Sus scrofa: one gene and its partners. The protein of the gene in region 2 interacts with the protein of the main gene of each other region in a pairwise test. Links are inferred from orthologs where the notes say so. Each region holds a gene or a part of one and is shown on either strand. Other genes may lie near its edges. The genes, in order: DTNB, CEP63, SMC3, TXLNB and CAMKK2.

Region 1 (3,517 bases), on a different chromosome or scaffold from region 2:
CCAGGATCCCCTCTCCAGCCGCGGCGGGAGGAGGCCGTAGCAGGGGCTGCAGGGCAGAGCTCTCTCTGCTCCCGCTTCCCGCCTGGGCTGCTGAGCGGCGGCACCGACCGGGGCGGAAGCCTAAGCAGTGAGAGAGAAAGGAAGGAGGCTATTTTTAGCACTGTGGCCAGGGTGTGAACGTTTGTTGAACTGAGCAGGGCCTGAAGCTGTCTTTGCACGACAGAGGGAAGAAAACCTGTTGGCTTTTAAAGGTCAAAGGTCGGGAGAAAACTTGTGCCCTCACCCTGGGGGACAACGCGCATGCTGGCGAGATGCCAGCAAGAACTCCATCAGGTCACACACACAGGAGAGTCGTGCTGTTTCTTTTCTCTTTTCAATCTCCAGTAAATTCCCTGTTGCAGAGATGAGACCATGCCCGGAAGGGAGTGATGAAGATGCTAGTTCATGCAGGGCTGTGCCAGGAGGGGGGCGCGCCCCTCCCACTTCCCAGGGGCTCGGGCTCCCCTCTGCCTGGCGGGTGGTGACGTCTGGCAGCCCGCAGGCCTGGTCCAGGTGTGCCGTGGAAAGATGGACAGGAATTCGCCTCTGGGGGAGGACCTCGCCTTCCTTGTGTTGGTGCCAGCTCGCTCCACGTCCCCCGTGCCTGTGCAGGACAGACGCACTGTGACTCACAGGCACTGCTGAGGGTCTCCGAGCAAAGGCTGCTAACATCTGCCGGGAACAAGACAAACGTGCAACGTTGGTGCTGCTGGAATGCGCACCTTTCAACTTTCAACATGCAAAGGGCTGACAATACTCACACCCCCTTTTAGGGAAAGGGGGCTTCCTTTTTCTGGGGGTACCTCGAGTCTTTGGAGTGCTTGCTTAGGTCACAGGGTCAGGAAGCGTTTCCAGGGAAGAAAGAAGGGTGTTCACAGTGCAAGGTTTTGGAATGCGGGAGGCTCAGGGGAAGAACTGTGACTGAGAAGGGCGAAGAGGTCGGGGATGTGCCGCAAAGCGCTGCGTAGAGGGAGGGAAAGCCTGAGCCTCACGGCCTCAGAGGAGCAGAAGGCAAGGGTCCGTGAAACTGCCCCACCTGAGCGTTTATGCTTTTCATTCTCCGCTGCTGCAGAGTTTCTCATAACTCCTGAGGGGTCCGAGGACAGCACTAGGAGCAGAAGCTCCAGCTCCGATGCCAGTTCTGGCTCCAAGCTCCTGGGTAGTGGGCCTTAGCTTCCTTGTGTGCATGAAGTGGGGGCGGGCCTGATGGCTTCCTTGTCCCCCAGGACCTCTGTGCCCCGGGAAGAGGGGCTCTGGCAGGCTCCCCCAGCGCAAGTCAGCTACGGACTCGCTTGCTGGCAGAGGCAGCCAGGCCTGCTGTCAGGAAGGGCCTTGTCCGCATGCGCAGTGAGCTCAGGCAAAAGCCTGCCCTGGGGCCTCGGGGGCTCCGGGATTCCCAGGGCAGGGAGGGGATTCCTGCAGCTCGGGGCTGCCCATCCTTAGCCTGCACGATCCCGGAGTCAGTGGGGGCTCAGAGACAGCAGGCCCCAGAGAGCGAGCAGGACAGAACCCAGGGCCTGGTGCAGCCGGGGGGCGGGGGTGTCAGGAAAAGGCGGGAGGCTGCTCCAGGGGGAGACGCCTCAGAAGGGCCTGAGAAAGTTCCTTTTCTGGATCATGGGCTGCAGCCCTGGCTTTTCTGCCTGTAAGATCTGTAACCGAGGCCTAACTTTAAACACAGGAGATGGGGGAGGGAGGGAAGACTCTTATGGCCGCATCAAGGCATCTAGCCTGGAAAGAACTCCTCCTGAACGGACGCGCTGTCCCCTTATTCCCATCCATTCCCATCCTTCCGGGGCGCCTGTGCCAAAGCTGCACTGCCTTGGAACTGGGACCCGTTAAGAGTTAAGGTCCTCAGATGGAAAAACGCGAAAGATTAATTCCTAATGGCAATGGGCATTGGCCTGCGGGGAAATCTGTACTGTTATTAAAATTTTTTAGGAGGTGAAGAAACAGTGCAGCTTGGCCAGGCGTCATGGGAAATGGCTTGGTCAGCTTTATGAATCCTGTGTGACAGAAACACGTGGTGGGTTCCAACTCTGGGTGACAGAACCTCAGGGGTGTGCTTGCTGGCTGTGGTTTGGAACCCCAGAGAGAAATGACATGACAGTGGCGGTGGGAAATCAGGAGCAAGGAGGCAGAGCCGTCCTGGGAGGTGAGCTCTGGCGCCTGCTCCCAGGGCCTGTTCCAGCCAGCAGTGTCTGGTCTGCCGCCTGTATGCAGACACAGGGGACACGAGGGCCTGCCTGCGGCCCAGGCCCAGGGCAGTGCAAGACAGATCCGGCCGGGAAACTGGGGCAAGCAGGTACACCAGCAGGGCCGTACAAGAGAAGAGGTGCAGCGGGGCTCCTAGAGGAAACCCCAACTTGCATCTCATGTGCTGGGGTGGCTCTGGCTTAAGAAGCATGACCGAGGAAAGGCGGGTGGGGAAGGGGCTCTGGGGGCCGGCAGAGACACTACTCACCTCGCTTCCTCTCTGTCCCGGCTCCTCCGCTAACCTGTGTGCAACAGACACAAACAACACACCGAGGTCACAGCCGGGGTCTCCTCACCCCCCGCCTCTTCTCCTAGGGGTTCCCTGCCCTGGGGGCTCCTGGCCTGGCCTGGCCTCTCCCCTTTGTTCCTCATTGGTCCACTTTTCCCCGACCAGGTATGAAACAGGGGAGTCAGACTTCCTACAACCAGCAGCTGCAACTGACATAAAACAGCCTTGGAGACAAGTGGCTCTCAGGAAGAGGAAAAAAATAAGACTAACATGGAAAGGAATCCACCTTAAATCTAGGGAGCAGTTCTATTGGGGGCTCCGCCCATCGGGTTCTGCACACGAACAAGGTGAAAATGATTTAAACTTTGATAAGAGCACAATTTCCCTATCTGCTTGGGATACTAAATCATAGTCGGGCTCACCCTGGAATCCTGAACCACTGCCTGGACCCTCCAAAGCCTGCTCTCTTTTCACCAAGGACCGCTGCTGTCAGTCTACCAGACACGCACCAGCCTGAAGCGTGCCAAGCGGATTTACAGCTCCTGACACTGTGGTGGCAGGCTGTGGGGGAGGTGATTTTGAAGGACACAGGCATACAACATGAGGCTCTGGAGTAGCTGAGATGAATTTAGGGCTCTGGAGTAATCTGGGGGGGAAGGCAGGCTAGCCCATGTTTCATCTACGGAGTCTTGGTTATCCGTACCGACCACGCGAGGGAGCAGATGCAAAGCAGGAAGGGTGCCCAGTGGAGCAGAAGCATTGGTCAGGATGCAGCCGGACAGACAGCTGGGGAGGGCAGGGAGCAGCTCGAGGGAGAGGTGAATGTGGCTGCCAGGTCAGCTCGGTCATGAATTCTTCACAAGTGCCCACCTGGGAGTTCCCTGGTGGCTAGGCAGGTTAAGGATTCAGCATTGTCAGTGCTGTGGCTTGGGTCATGGCTGTGGCTTGGTTTGATCCTTGGCTTGGGGACTTCTCATGTGGCAGGCATGGCCAAAA
Region 2 (4,209 bases):
TTGTCAGTGACTCAGCACATCTTTCCTCAATTTGGCCTCAATCTTTTTTCACCTGTCCCTCTTCCGAACACCTCTAACTCTGTTATCCTTTCCAGCCTTTGCACTCAAAGTTCTTTACCCCATCACTAACACACCCATTTTTCCTTCCAAACTCAAAGCTGGCGTCAGCTCATCAGAACCAACATGCCATTTCCAGAGTTAGGCGCTAAGGTGCCTTCTCTCTTCAGGGGCTGGAAAAAAGGAAAGCACAAGACGGGCAAAGAGGGGCAATGACCAGGAAATGACTACGTCTCAAACACTTGCCTCACTCAACAGAATGAAGCATTACCACTTTCCTGAACAAAGTTTTCTTACACATACGACTGTCCCAATGCCTGGAATGCTCTGTCTTCTTCCTTTTTTCCCCAGCTAACCCCAAACTGTCCAAAAAATTTAGCTCCCAGGTCGTCTTCTGCAGGAGTCGTTCTCTAAGAGCCAGAAGAGCGCAGTCCCCGCCCCTCCGCGGGTCCCATAGTTCTCTGGGCACAGAGAATGATCCCCATCAGGATCTTGGTATATTGCCTGTCACACGGTCTTTCCAGACACGAGACGCCTGCGTTTCCCGGGGGGAGGGCAGTTTTATTCATCTCTGCTTTAGAGCTCTGTGAAACATGCAGTTACATGAGCAAAACTGGGACGCCTTTTCCCTCGCTAGAAATGACCCTCTCGGGCCACCACCGTCCATACAGGCCTGGGAGGCCGCCCCACAGCCACGGCTTCCGGCCCGAGGCGGGATATACCAAATGCGGAAGCGAGGGGGGGGGGTCCGGACAGCCAAGCAAGTTCCCCTCCTCCCCGCCCAACGTGTGGTAAGAGAAGTGGTTAGGAGGGAGAGGATGATGTGAAAACAACGACCTAAGCCAAGAGAAACGGCAGGAGTCCGAACGCGCTCCCGTATCTCCAGACCCTACATTACGTGCGCGCAAACCCTTTTACCAGCCCCAAACCCAGCGTGTCACACACCCCCGCCGACCGCGCCCTCAGCATCACGTGACCCAGACGTCCTTCACTTTCCGATCCCCGGATGTGGGTGAGCCCATTTGCCGGAGCACAGGGGGAGTTAGGGAGGACATTGTTTTAATTAAAAGTGAAGGAGCAGTGGGCAAAACGAACGTGCTGACTGCTGTGGCTGGACGTCAGGTTGGCGGTGCCGCGCGTGCGCACCCCCAGCCGTAGGTAACGGCGGGAAGGCTCGGGGAGCGCTCGCGGCAGCCCTTAACCGCATTGCGAACGTCGGACGGGCGAGGGGCGGCCGTCTCTGGGCCTGGAGGTAGCCCTGGCTGCGGTGGGGCCGCGGGCCGAGCGGCCGAATGGCCTGGGGCCTGCTTCCTCAGCCGCCCGCTGGCCTCCAGGCCCGCCCCCGCCGGCCCGGCTCCGCCCCGGCGCCCCGCCCCCCGGCCTTTTCGCTGACGCCCGGCTGACCCGCGAAGCCGGATATGGCCTCCCTCGGCGTGCGGTCCCGGCCAGCCAGGTGGTCAGCTCTTACCTAGAGACCGGGCCGGCGGGAGGGCGGCGGGGTGGGCGAGCTGCTCGTCTTCCCGGAGCGGAGTTAGCCGCGGGCCACTCTTCCACTTCAGGGGAGGGATCCTCGGCAAGGCCCTCTCGCCTGGGCTGCCTCATCTGGTTAGCTTCTTAGCATTGTTGCGACTTAGGTCATTGATGGCAGGTGATAGCGGTTCATTCACGGGTGGGAAGTTTAGCAAGTTTTAAAAAGTGAGTTGGTTAAAAACGTATTGGAGGTACAGAAATGTGGCAGAAAACATGAAGGACTCAATTGGGGAACCCTGGACTTAGGGATCCATACAAATCAGGGATGGGAAATAAATGATAAATTGAGGAAATAAAAGGTATAGGTCCTTAGAACACTTTAATCATCAAGATACTTTAAGGCGGTAAATCTAGGCTTATAATGAGGTTTTTCTTATGCTTCTTGAAACAGTAAAGATGAGTCCGCTGTCAGCGACTACTCTTCCTTTGCAATTACAGTACATTTCTTTGCACAAAGTAGTTTTCCTTGAGCCTTACAGACAGTTCCTTAAACCAGTCTTTAAGAATTTTTTCTTCTTTTAATAAAGCAGTATTGTAGGGTTAGTGCCCTGTGGTAATAGTTTCCCACATGCGTGCATTTAATTTTCTAGACATGAAGAGGAAATCAAGGATTATTAACTACATGCTACCTTCGAATATTTATATTTATACTGATCACAACTGTAGCTTAATTATATAATAAAGTGTATGTGTTTTATTTTGAATACCGTATCCTTTTTTTTTTTTTTTTGTCTTTTTGCTATTTCTTGGGCCGCTCCTGCGGCATATGGAGGTTCCCAGGCTAGGGGTTGAATCGGAGCTGTAGCCACCTGCCTACGCCAGAGCCACAGCAACGCGGGATCCGAGCCGCGTCTGCAACCTACACCACAGCTCATGGCAAAGCCGGATCGTTAACCCACTGAGCAAGGGCAGGGACCGAACCCGCAACCTCATGGTTCCTAGTCGGATTCGTTAACCACTGTGCCACGAGGGGAACTCCCCATATCATTTTTAGATGGATTTTTATTCTGCCTTTTGATTATATCATTATCAGTGATTAGTAAGAAAGACAAATTAAAACGGGTTAGACATTTATAAACTTTCACTTTAAAATGAACTGCACTTTAAAATGTATGTTGATTCAGTTTTTAAAATTATTTCTAGTAATTGTGTATATTAATAGTACTGAAGCCACTCTTCTCCCATTAAAGGTAGAACACTCTTGCTTGATCCTACCTGTTCTTACTTGTGTACTAGTGGTGGTAGGTGGTGACAGCATCAGTAGTAGTCCACTTTATCAGAACTTCCTACTTTTAAATGTATATTAACTTGATTTGAAATTCACCTAAAGCCAGCGTTGACATATGTTTCAGGAATTGAATTTTTGGTCTTTATGGTATTTTAGGCTTTCTTCCTTCAATAATTAGTGTTTTCAGTTTTACAAAATTGTATTACTGTCATCACATCTATGACAATTAGTAAAATACCCGAAATGTCAATATTTAGTCTGAGTTTGGATTTCCCCAATTGTCCCAAATACGTGTTTTTACAGTTAGCTTGTTTGGATCAAAGTCCTTTAGAGACCCATTTGTTGCATTGGGTTGATACACCTTTTAGAAGTTTTTTATATGGCAGTTTTGTTGCCTCCCTTATTTCCCTTAACATTCTAGATTTAGTTGATTGCATCCACATAGTATCCTTTAACTTATATATCTATTCCCTTTATCACCTTTAAACTGGTAGTAAGGTCTAGAATTGCCCTGTCTAATATAGCAGGCACCAGCCAGCTATGGCTGTCTAAATGAATTAAAATAGGAAAAAACCCCAAAAATTTCAGTTCCCTAGTTGCATTGGCCACATTTCAAGTGCATGATAGTCACAGATGCCTAATGGCTACTATTTGAATTGTATATATAAAGATTTCCATAATTGCATAAAGGTCTTTTGAACAGTACTGATCTAGAAACTCGATCAGATTCAGCCTTGACTCTTTGGGAAGGGTGAGGGTGGGGCAAGATTTCATAGTTGGTGCAAAACAGTAATGTCCAAGTTTTTTCTCTTTGGTGTTACAACTGGGCAGCTATGGGGGTTCAGGTGTTGTCAGTCCAGTTTATCCATGATGAAATTCCCTGTGAACCTTTCACTTAATGGTGAGATCCTGTCCTGGATTTAGATTGCTTATATCCATTATTGCATTAGAGTTTGCAATATGGTGATTCTTTGATTCTATCCTCAGTATTTAATTAGCTGGAAATTTTTTGTGAAGAAGAACTTTTTACTTCAGCAAGCTATTTGACTACCCCGCCAGCTGTTTGCAATACAGTTTGTATAGGAAAGACAAGAAAAATGCTGAATTCTTTCCCTCTATTTCCAGAGTACAGTAATGAGTTGGTGGCCTAGCAATCTCCAAAGGTAACCATGAGCGTTTTGCCTTTTTTTTAAAAAAATCATCATGAACTTACAGACTTGAATATATTTAAACTGTTTCAACCTAGTGCGGGTTTTGGGGGGGGGTTGGGTACTTAACTTGTCCTGTTGTTGGCCAGTAGTAGCCTGAATAAGTTGTCTTTTGTCCACTTTGAGAGTTTCCTTATTGTTGAGTAAAAGGTGTTATTGGCTTATTTGTATATTTCCGACCACTAA
Region 3 (3,975 bases), on a different chromosome or scaffold from region 2:
AAGGGACAACTGTATACATTTAAGGAAATAAGTCTAGTAATTACTCATTTTTCTCCAAATCTAAAGATTTTCTGATTGATGATAATTAGAAGGCACTTTTAGTCAAAATGTAAAACTCTAATACAATCATGCCACCCTTATGGGACACCAATTTATGAATGATTCTTCAGTAGGTAAGACAGGGAGAAAAGCATATTTTCTTTATTTCCAAATACAAGGTTGCAACTGACACATCCAGAGCAGGTTTCTTCTCTGCCGTCAATTTTAAACTTTTATTATTTATTTACTTAATTCAAAATAAAGTATGATTCTCAAAGTTTTTCTGAGAACATCAGCATTAACTGTTCACCCTTTATTGATTTCTATACCAATCTCATCTCACCCCATGCTATGGACTGAATTGTGTCGCCCCCTCAAATTCATATGTTGCATCCCTAACTCCCTATGTGAAGCTTTTTGGAGATGGGGGCCTTTGGGAGGTAAATGTGAGGTTAAGAGGATGGGGCCTTTTTGGGGGGATGAGAGGGAGAGGCTCAAAGAAGGTCCTATTAGCGTGAGGGGTAGGGCCTCCAGAAAAGTAAAAAAATTAATCCCTGTGGTTTAAGCCACCTAGTCTCTGATATTTTGTTATGGTAAACTAAGCAGACAAATATACCAACATACTCTTTAAGGAGGACACTGCATAGCATAAGTCTTTGTCAACAGCACATTCTATGCTTTTCTGGGGCCTACAAGCACTCATTTCAAAACATTTTTGCTGTCTGTATCAGCCAAATGGAACATTATCATCCAAAGAATTTATGGATTAGATATTACGTTGCAAGGCAATCATGATTAACTTATCCTCACACAACTGCTTTCTCATTTAATTTTCCCAACAGCCCTACAAAATGTGTATCATTATCTCCACTGTACAAATGAGAAAACTGAAGCACCTCAGGGAGTGAAGTTTGAGGAATACATGGCAGCATTGGGATTTGAATCCCATTCTGTTATGATCCAAAGTTTATGATCTTCCCACACAAATACACAACATGACTACCGAATAAAAATGAGCAATTTATGATTGCCTTATCCAATATTTTAAATGTATAAAGAAAGCAACTTCATCAGTGCAAATCAAAGACAGAAAAGTAATTTCACAGAGAAAAAATACATATAAGTGTACATAATATTCAAAGACAGGTCGTCTGTAGCCTAATAGAGACAGAATTTAAATGTCTGTATAGATTGAAATCTGATCGAGTAAAACCATGAACACTTACCAATAACATTATGTTTTGAACTGAAGGGGTCTACAATTGTTTGATCTCTGTAACTTCGAAATCCCTGGATAATAACCTGATAAATAAAAAAGGGATTTATCAAAACACACCCCAAAAGGAATAACTTCTATTTATTTATTTATTTATTTATTGTCTTTTTGCCATTCCTAGGGCTGCTCCCGTGGCATATGGAGGTTCCCAGGCTAGGTAGGGGTTGAATCGGAGCTGTAGCTGCCGGCCCAAGCCAGAGCCACAGCAACGCAGGATCCGTGCCGCGTCTGCAACCTACACCACAGCTCACAGCTCACGGCGACGCCAGATTCTTAAGCCACTAAGCAAGGCCAGGGATCGAACCGCAACCTCATGGTTCCTAGTCGGATTAGTTAACCACTGAGTCACCACGGGAACTCCAGGAATAATCTCTAAACTAACACCTTTTTGCACACCTTTCCGTCCTGGTTTCTCATTTAATGCAAGATAATAAAGTTTCCATTTCAGAGAAGAAAAACTCATTTTGGAAAAACGGTGATTTAAAAAAAAAATCAGTAACCACTGCCAATGTTGCTTTTTTAGGAGCGATAATTAATAACCTGTTAGGAAATTCTCAAAATCAAGCCCAAGGTCCGTAGGAACACTAAGCATTACAAGGCTGTAGTAAAAGCACATCAAACTTGCAGACCGGCCCCAGCTTTTCTGGGCGTCCCTGCCAGCCACACTCCGGCCCAGCCAGAATGAGCATCCCTTTCGTGGAACCGCTGCTCTGAGGCCAACACATCCGACAAGAGAAACTTCTCGCAGAGCGTGAATGGGTCCATCTTTGCGGTGGACTCCAGCGCGGGAAGACCATTTTGACAGAAGTAAACAACGGAATGAGGAGGCACTACGCACCGTGCAGGAAGGAGGAGCCTTCTCACTCCTTGGCTAAGTCGGGGAGGAGCAAACCCCCAGTTAGGCTGACACCCCCAGAGGCGCCCCCGGACTGGGGAGACCCCACCACCACCACCACCACCACACACTAAACGCCCTCGCGGAGCTGCCCAGGGCAGCAGGACGAAGCCTCTTCCCGTCCCGGGCCTCTCCCGCCCCGGCCCACCCGGGAAGACCTAGTGCCTCCAACAAGACAGCCCCGCCAGCCCCTCCACCCCTCTCCCCGAGCCCGCCCCCCTCAGGCGAGCGCCCTGCAGGGCCGCCGGGGCTGCAGGGAGGAGCCCCACTTCTCCGCGGCCCTGCGCTAGTGGGTCGGCCCTCTCCCCTCCCCCACACTCCCTGTCCAGCCCCGCGTCCACCCTGCGGGGAGATGTGAAAGGCCGCGACATCCTCGCCTCAAAGAGCGGTCCTCACGAGCCCGTGGCAGGGGAAAGGAGGGACACATAGACCTCACCTGCTTTATGTACATGGTTCCGGGCGCTCCTAGCCGGGGAGACGGCCTCCGCCGCAAAAAGCAACAGCGAGGGCGCGGGGTCTGGTGAGGAGCCTAGGAGACCCCTCCCCCCAGAGCGCCGCTCGCTCCCCTCCAGCCAAACAAAATGGCGGCGCCCGCGGAGGCGGAGTCCGCGCCTCGGACGGAACCACCCTCGCGACCCCCACGGAGCGTAGGGGGAATCAGGGTTAGGTCCGTTCTTTCTTTTTGGCAAAAGGAACCTTCTACGATGTCTTCAGGTGTATTTCACTTGATCCCTCAATTTTTAGCTGAACTTTTCTGGAGAAATTGTCGGAAGTTTCATTCAGAAAAGCCTCGATCGTGTGGTTGGCCCGTATTTCCTCCGAGCTCAGAGATAATGGTTGCGGCCAGAAGGGGGGAAAGGTTCGGCGCCAAAGCCGAGAGCTAGAGGCGGAGGGCCAGTAGCGGTGCGGGGCGGAGGTCACGTGGTCTCCGACTGTATAAAAATGGGACGACACCACTCCCGTCCCCCCCCAACCAACGCCGCGCGCGGGTCGTGCCATTCCCCCAAACCTGCTGAATGCAGGATCGGGGGCGGGACGGTGTTCGGCGAGCTGAATTCCGGCTGTTCCATTATTCTCTCTTACTCGGGGACTTTTATAAATTTAGAACGGCTCTCAATGGCTCTAGACTGTCCACTCGCAGGACAGCCCCATGTAAACTTGGCGCTGGAAAATTAGTTGTAATAATGTCATGGTTAATACCTCCGGAGCTGTTACTGCTTTATTTGCTATAAATCTAGGCAGATTGGACAACTGCAGCAACAAGATTTAGATAAGATTAAAAGTTCCCCCCAACCCCGCTTTTTTTTTTTAACAGTCTGAAAGCTAAGAGGCGCCAGTGGCAACCGTTGGTGTAGCTGATGTATATCAATCCTAGGGAAAAAACCATTTGATTAGAAATTGGGCCACTGTGAAGTTACTTGCCAACCAAGTTGGTCCCTCCTCACCACCCCTCCCACTGCCCTTGGGCAGTTCCAGCCCTATTTACTGGATTAGCATCTCTATACTGTTGATTTCTAACTCTGGGATCATAGACACATTGATATTGAAGTTTTAAGTCTTCTTTACTAACCTATAAAATGAGGATAAAACCATTTTCATGTTTAGAATTGCAGAAACAATGCATAAGGCTATTCTATTTACCTAAATTATAGAGGTATATAGATGAAAGCATGGTGACCAAACATTTATGATGTTCTTTACAGTGATGAGAGTTTTACTTATTTAGACATACTAAATGAATCTTATCCAATTGGTTTATATAACT
Region 4 (2,617 bases), on a different chromosome or scaffold from region 2:
TCTTTAAATACCAAATTTTACTGTTGATTAGGAAACTGAATTAAGTATCATCATAATGGCAAATTAATATACAGTTGCTACTCGGATTTTTTGTTGCCATTTGGGAAAATTATACCATCAACCAGTACTAAATAGAAAAACTCCAAATCAGTTACAAATTGAGAACAAATAACAAAGGCTGATTGTACTCTACTTAACATTTAAAATGTCTTGATCTGATTAAGTCTCTTCCATTAGATGTCTCTAGCTCTTAATGCCTTTTTCAGGTGAAAGATGGAAAGTCAAGAAGAGCCTCTGAAGGCAGACGAGGCTTAATCTACTCCTTCCAGATTGGTGTCGGCCACTTCTGGCCCCTGGGGCAGGGCCGTATCCCCTCCTGGCAGCCCCTCAGCGGTTGGCACGTGCTCACCTGCAGCGGGAGGTGGAGCAGGATGGTCGGCCTCCATCACCTGGAGCGAGGCCTCAGCGAGCGGCTCCAGCGCCTGACCGGAAGCTGCTGCCTGCGGCTTCCGGGGCTGCAGATCCACCTGTGCTTCGGTCGGGAGCCGGAAGCTTTGGGCCTCTGCTCCTGACTCAGCTGGGGGACTCCTGGCCCTGAGGGGAGGTTCGGCTTCATGTCCTCCCGCGGTCTCAGCCTGAGGCCTTGGTGGAGGCAGGGGACTCTCTGAAAGGCCTCGAGGGCTCAGGGGGGCTTGTTCCGGCTCCTTGAGGGTCGTGCTGCCGCCCTCTGGAGGACCGCCGACTTCTGCTGGGATTTCTTTAGACCCGTCGACGGTTGACTCTGGACGATGAATGACCATGAAGGCCGCAGCCAGATTCTGCACGGCATTGTGAACCCTATTGGCTTCCTCTGCAGCGGCATCAACCTCTTCACTCACAAAGGTATTTGACTCTAGCTCCTCGTCTGAGGTGTGCTGACTTTGGTCGTCTTTTTCAGGCATTTTCGCTTCTCTGATTTTCTTGTAGAGTTCATTTCTCTCTTCTTGTAAAGCTCGGCAGAGGTTTTCTAGCCTTCCGATTTTCATCACGAAGCATTCGTATTCTTTAGCTCTCAATGTTTTCTGTGATTTAAACACGCACACGCACATTAAATGACACAAAAAACAAAATGGCAAGGATGCCCTCTGCAATTTATCAGGCTCTGACCGCAAGGGGTTGGCTGGACGGGGACTTGGTCAGGGACATCACTCTTGCCCTGTGTTGGAGTCTTTGGGTAGAATTTTAATTCACATATTCTTTAGGAAAGAAAGATAGTTTCAGTCTGAGGCTTCTAAAATCTTAAAATGTATTTTCTGCTTTTAAGACTTAGAAGGCATAAGCAGAAGCTTGTGGCAAAATGATTGAGATGGACTGGGACTTGGCCGTCAGCAGTGCCTTAACTGTTCAAGAGATAAATTGCTATATGCTAATCAAGCAACTGTTTGATTTATGTTTATGAATAATAAGCACATCTCTTTGGAATTGGTTGCAGTTTGGGATGAATTGTTAGAACAGTAATTATAAGTGGAGAAACTCACCATGCACTCATTCGTGATGCTGCTTAAACTGTTCATTTCTCCTTTTCTCTAGAAATGTTGGTGTGTTAGTGCATGAAATTGTTCCTAATCATCTTACTCCTTCACCCCTGCCTTTGTGCTATTATGTACCTTTTAAGACTTTTTCCCCCACTTGTTTACTGGAGAGATCTTCACCTGTAAGCCCTGCCTCTCAGGTCAAGGGCCATGTATCTTTGCCTTCATAGTCTCAAAACCTCCAGAGCCTGAAAGAATATCAGTATTTAAATGACTGTTGGAGGAATTAAGCAATTTATCTCTGTATCTGTCTATAAAATAACATATACTTTGGGTGCTTGGGCTGGTGTTTTTCTCACTGTGTTTGAATCAACTAATTAATTTACTCTGTGCCTGTTATGCATTAGGCACAAGGGAAATTCAAGCACAGCTAAAACATTCATCTAGCAGGTGTGGTGCTGCTTTGGAATCAACAAGTAGGCATATGACTTAGGGTTAAAATGCTCTTAATGAGTCTTTTGTGGTAATTACTTTTATTGCAATATCATATATAGCACATTCCAGAAAAATTCATCTCTTTTTCAAAGGTACTCATTTGTGCTATTAGGCCATAGTTGCTTTCTGAGTATAAATGTATTGACTAGTCAGGGGAAGAAGAGCAAGGGGAAAAGCTTCCTCACCTCTTCAATCATGTCCAACAGAGCTTTGTTACAGTTCTCAAACCGGGCTTTCCACGTGGCTGTTTCTTTTTCCAGCTTCTTCATTTTCTTAGTGGTCTATAGAAATTAGAATGTTTTAATGTTAATCCTGATTAGTTAATATATCAAAGAAACTGTCGGTGCCATATGTGATGTCAGGAAAAGTTCTTTTGTTACCAGCTACTGAAGGAAACAAAAATTCAATACCAAGGAATGAAGAATGAGTGGAGAGAGTCATGATTTATTTCTGAATCATCTGGGTCAGTGGTGAACAAATTTATTTGCATCAGAGCCAATTCAGGAGAAAGGGAACTACTTAGGGCCTTCCTGTTTTGTCATGCTTTTTCTTTTGTTTAAAATAAAAATAGCTTTATTGAGTCCCAAGAATAAACTTGAAATTTAAGTTAT
Region 5 (3,517 bases), on a different chromosome or scaffold from region 2:
ATACAAAGAAGTGGGTCTGGTGGGAGCTCTGTGCAGCACAAAGGTAGGAGGTGGGGAAGGGGTGGACCAGGCCCTGAGAACCCTGCTGGGGGTCTGAGTTCCAACCTATCTTCCAGGAGTTCATGGTAAGGATCAAGAGAGAGATGCACATAAGGAGCCTGAGAAGGCAAACACTCAGCAACTGGGGCCCTGCGGTTTTCAGGTTTTCAGCAGTGACTGACCTGCCATCCCCAATTCAAAGCCCCTAGCACAACTTCCAAGCGCCAGCATCTACATCCCTTTGCCAGAGGCTCTCTCCACGGGGAGATGCTCTGTCCACACTCAAGGCAGCTCACCCACAGCCAGAAGCCCTCACCAGGGACTGCCAGCAGCTGGTGTCAAAGGCGGAGCTTCCTTGCCGGCAGGTAGAATAACATTGGGGCTGGCCTCCTACACTGTCTCCTGCAGGGCTCCCCAGAGGTGGCACCACAGCTGCCCACCGGCTCCATCATGCACCTTTACTGACTTCTTTCTGGGTTTTCTGGGGTCACCTCCCAAAGCAACTGTTTGCACTAGAATTCTCAGGGACCCTAGCCTAACACCAAGGCATTTCTGGCAGGCGCAGGGACACGGCACCGGGGGCCGCCGCTCACGCACCTGCATCCCGGTGATGGAGACATGGTGCGACTCCACGGTGGGCCGCCGGGGCAGCCGCGGTGAGGACTGCGGGGAGCCCACGGGCGAGTGGGGCAGAGCCGGGCAGACACCACGCCCATTTGCGTCCAGCTGGGTCCGCTCCTGCAGAGAGAGCTTGCGGCTGGAGAGGAGGGGCCGGGCCTGGGCCACAGAGGCGTCAAGCGGGACCTCGCCGCCATCTGCCTCCAGGGGCCGGTCCCTGGTCAGGCTGAGATCCACAGGACAGGCCGGCTCACACTCTGTGACCACGATGAAGGACTCCATGCCCAGGCGGATGCTCAGGGACGAGAGGCCACGCAGGGCCTCACAGGGCTTCCGGCCTTCGCTGCTGCTGCCGCCTCCGCCCCCCAGCTCATCGTGGGGGGCGGCCCGGTTGCTACTGGGCTGGCTAGAGACACATGATGACATGGTGCATGTGCCCACTTGATGCGACACAGACTCTCGGGGGTACACCCATCCAGCAGCTCACGCCACCTGCAGAGAGAGGAAGGGTCAGCTGCCCCCACCCAGTGGGGCAGGGCCAAGGTAGGGGGTTTCTCCTGCTGGCCAAGCCTGATGCCTCATTCCTGCTTTGAGTGGAGTCCTTACAACACGATAAAATCTGATCTGAGTCTGTAGAGATGAGCTTACTCCACATTTCTTCACAGGAGTTCCCAAAGTGGCTCAGCAGGTTAAGAACCTGACTAGTATCCACAAGGACGCAGGTTCCACCCCTGACCTCGCTCAGTGGGTTAAGGATCCGAGTTGCTGCAAAAAGGTCACAGAGGCAGCTGGGATCTGGCATTGCTGTGGTGTGGTGTAGGCTGGCAGCTGCAGCTCTGATTGGACCCCTAGCCCAGGAACTTACATATGCTGTGGGTGACGAAGTAAAAATTAAAAAAAAAAAAAAAAAAAAGCCCCTCCTCATACACTACAAGAATCCAAATTCAATTCCTGTAGAAACCAAGTATGAGAAGACCCAAAAACTAGAGCACCCATGCACCCAACAAATGTGGCTTCCAGCTCAAGCCAACTGTTGCTAAGCAGGAATTTGGGCCTAGAATTGTCTGATTACCTCCCCCATGTTTTTTATTTATTTATTTAAAGAGAAGTCCTAAACCGATGATGTTGGGTGAGATCTCTTAACTTTTGGAAAATTCGCAATTATTTTAAATATTTTAAAATACCTGGAGTTCCCGTCGTGGCTCCGTGGTTAACGAATCTGACTAGGAACCATGAGGTTTCGGGTTCAGTCCCTGGCCTTGCTCAGTGGGTTAAGGATCCAGCGTTGCTGTGAGCTGTGGTGTAGGTTGCAGATTCCGCTCGGATCCTACGTTGCTGTGGCTCTGGCTACAGCTCAGATTCGACCCCTAGTCTGGGAATCTCCACATGCCATGGGAGTGGCCCAAGAAATGGCAAAAAGACAAAAAACAAAAACAAAAACAAAAAAAAAAAACAGGCCAAAGAAACACTTCCTCATGATGACCTCTGGGCTGCCTCTCTTCATAAGAGCAATGATGTAGACAGCACCTTCCAGTTTATAAAATATCTTCCACACATCAGGATCATTTCACAAGTGCCCTAGGTTGTTGGTTTGCCCTTATACCTTCATTTTATAAATGGGGAAACTGAGACTCAAGAGAGGGAGAAGGATTTGTCCTAAGGCACACACCATGCGCACAGGAGTCCAGTCCCCTGGCCTGGCCCGGAGCCAATGATTCCTGAGGTGTGAGGGTCAGGAGGTCACACCAGAGGAGGAAGAGGCGCCCAGAGAGTGTGTGAGCCAGGGGAGTGTGTGCTGTCTGAGGAGGAAGGCTCAACATATCTGTTATCTACTGTTGCCCTAGCTCAGCCCCAGCTAGCTACTGCTAGACAAAAAGCAAATACGAGATAAAAAAGGTTAGCTTCGGAAGTTCCCTTGTGGCACAGCAGGTTAAGGATCTGATGTTGCCACAGCTACGGTGCAGTGTCGCTTCGATATCTGGCCCTGGAACTTCCGTGTGCCATGAATGCCACCCCCACCCCCCAAAAAAAAGGTTGGCATCAAATAGTTTGGTGGTTCCTCAAATAACTAAGAGAATTACCATATGACTGAGCAACTGTGTTCCTTGGTATCTACCCAAACAGCACTACTCACAACACCGAAAAGAGAAAAAAACAACCTACATGTCCAACAATAGATGAATGGATGGGAAAATGTGGTCTGTCCACACAATGGAGCATGACTTAAAAGGAATAAAGAATCGACACAGGCTACAACCTGCATGAGCTTCAAGAACATGCTGCTGAGTGGAAGAAGCCAGACACAAAAGGTCACGTGTGTATGATCCTAGCTACGTGAGATTTTTGAATGGGCAAATCCACACAGACAGAAAGTACAGTGGTTGCCAAGGACTGGGGAGGTGTTAGGGGAAATGGGAAGTAACTGCCAGGGGGCACGGGGGGTCTCCTCTCGGGGTGCTGAAAAGACCCTGGAACTAGATAAAGGTGGTGGTTGCACAACACTGTGAATGTACTAAATGACATTGAGTTGCACACGTTTAAATGGTTAATTTTGTGTAAATTACAAAAAATTGACACACTCAGACTGTCAATTCCTTCTGTCTCTGGAACAGAATATTAACCTTTGCTTCGTGTGTTTGACAAATTCTGCTGGACAAATGTCACAGGTACCACTGGAATTCATGGAGTACATCCACAGATGCAGAAGGTGGCGGTTCCGTGCTGATCACCCACGTCAGGGAAATGCCAGGAAAGCAGTGAGTGCTGAGCAGAGAGATTTTATGAATGAATAAAATTATATCTCTTTATAACATTGGCTGGCAGTGGGGGGAGAGAGAGGAAAGTACAGTTGGGAACCGAA

What was found.
Region 1: the proteins of CEP63 (region 2) and DTNB interact in binary tests that used the Homo sapiens proteins (3 or more experiments, as listed by UniProt). The two-hybrid records come from large-scale screens. The link is inferred for Sus scrofa from reciprocal best matches to the Homo sapiens genes CEP63 and DTNB.
Region 3: the proteins of CEP63 (region 2) and SMC3 interact in a two-hybrid assay, tested with the Homo sapiens proteins (2 studies listed by BioGRID and IntAct). The link is inferred for Sus scrofa from reciprocal best matches to the Homo sapiens genes CEP63 and SMC3.
Region 4: the proteins of CEP63 (region 2) and TXLNB interact in binary tests that used the Homo sapiens proteins (3 or more experiments, as listed by UniProt). The two-hybrid records come from large-scale screens. The link is inferred for Sus scrofa from reciprocal best matches to the Homo sapiens genes CEP63 and TXLNB.
Region 5: the proteins of CEP63 (region 2) and CAMKK2 interact in a two-hybrid assay, tested with the Homo sapiens proteins (2 studies listed by BioGRID and IntAct). The link is inferred for Sus scrofa from reciprocal best matches to the Homo sapiens genes CEP63 and CAMKK2.

The regions. Positions count from the first base shown.
Region 1 is NC_010445.4:113,473,656-113,477,172, reverse strand, and holds the end of DTNB (dystrobrevin beta), read right to left. Parts: intron 2,535-3,517; coding exon 2,501-2,534; intron 712-2,500; coding exon 280-711; 3' UTR 164-279; downstream 1-163.
Region 2 is NC_010455.5:75,604,638-75,608,846, forward strand, and holds the start of CEP63 (centrosomal protein of 63 kDa), read left to right. Parts: upstream 1-1,403; 5' UTR 1,404-1,475; coding exon 1,476-1,510; intron 1,511-1,543; exon of another isoform or gene 1,544-1,662; intron 1,663-3,940; exon of another isoform or gene 3,941-3,949; coding exon of another isoform or gene 3,950-3,978; intron 3,979-4,209. UniProt on the Homo sapiens protein: Required for normal spindle assembly.
Region 3 is NC_010456.5:120,968,462-120,972,436, reverse strand, and holds the start of SMC3 (structural maintenance of chromosomes protein 3), read right to left. Parts: upstream 2,809-3,975; 5' UTR 2,662-2,808; coding exon 2,647-2,661; intron 1,342-2,646; coding exon 1,266-1,341; intron 1-1,265. UniProt on the Homo sapiens protein: Central component of cohesin, a complex required for chromosome cohesion during the cell cycle. The cohesin complex may form a large proteinaceous ring within which sister chromatids can be trapped.
Region 4 is NC_010443.5:25,280,588-25,283,204, reverse strand, and holds part of TXLNB (beta-taxilin), read right to left. Parts: intron 2,288-2,617; coding exon 2,192-2,287; intron 1,062-2,191; coding exon 312-1,061; 3' UTR 1-311. UniProt on the Homo sapiens protein: Promotes motor nerve regeneration. May be involved in intracellular vesicle traffic.
Region 5 is NC_010456.5:31,327,926-31,331,442, reverse strand, and holds part of CAMKK2 (calcium/calmodulin-dependent protein kinase kinase 2), read right to left. Parts: intron 3,421-3,517; exon of another isoform or gene 3,279-3,420; intron 1,150-3,278; 5' UTR 1,084-1,149; coding exon 637-1,083; intron 1-636. UniProt on the Homo sapiens protein: Calcium/calmodulin-dependent protein kinase belonging to a proposed calcium-triggered signaling cascade involved in a number of cellular processes. Isoform 1, isoform 2 and isoform 3 phosphorylate CAMK1 and CAMK4. Isoform 3 phosphorylates CAMK1D.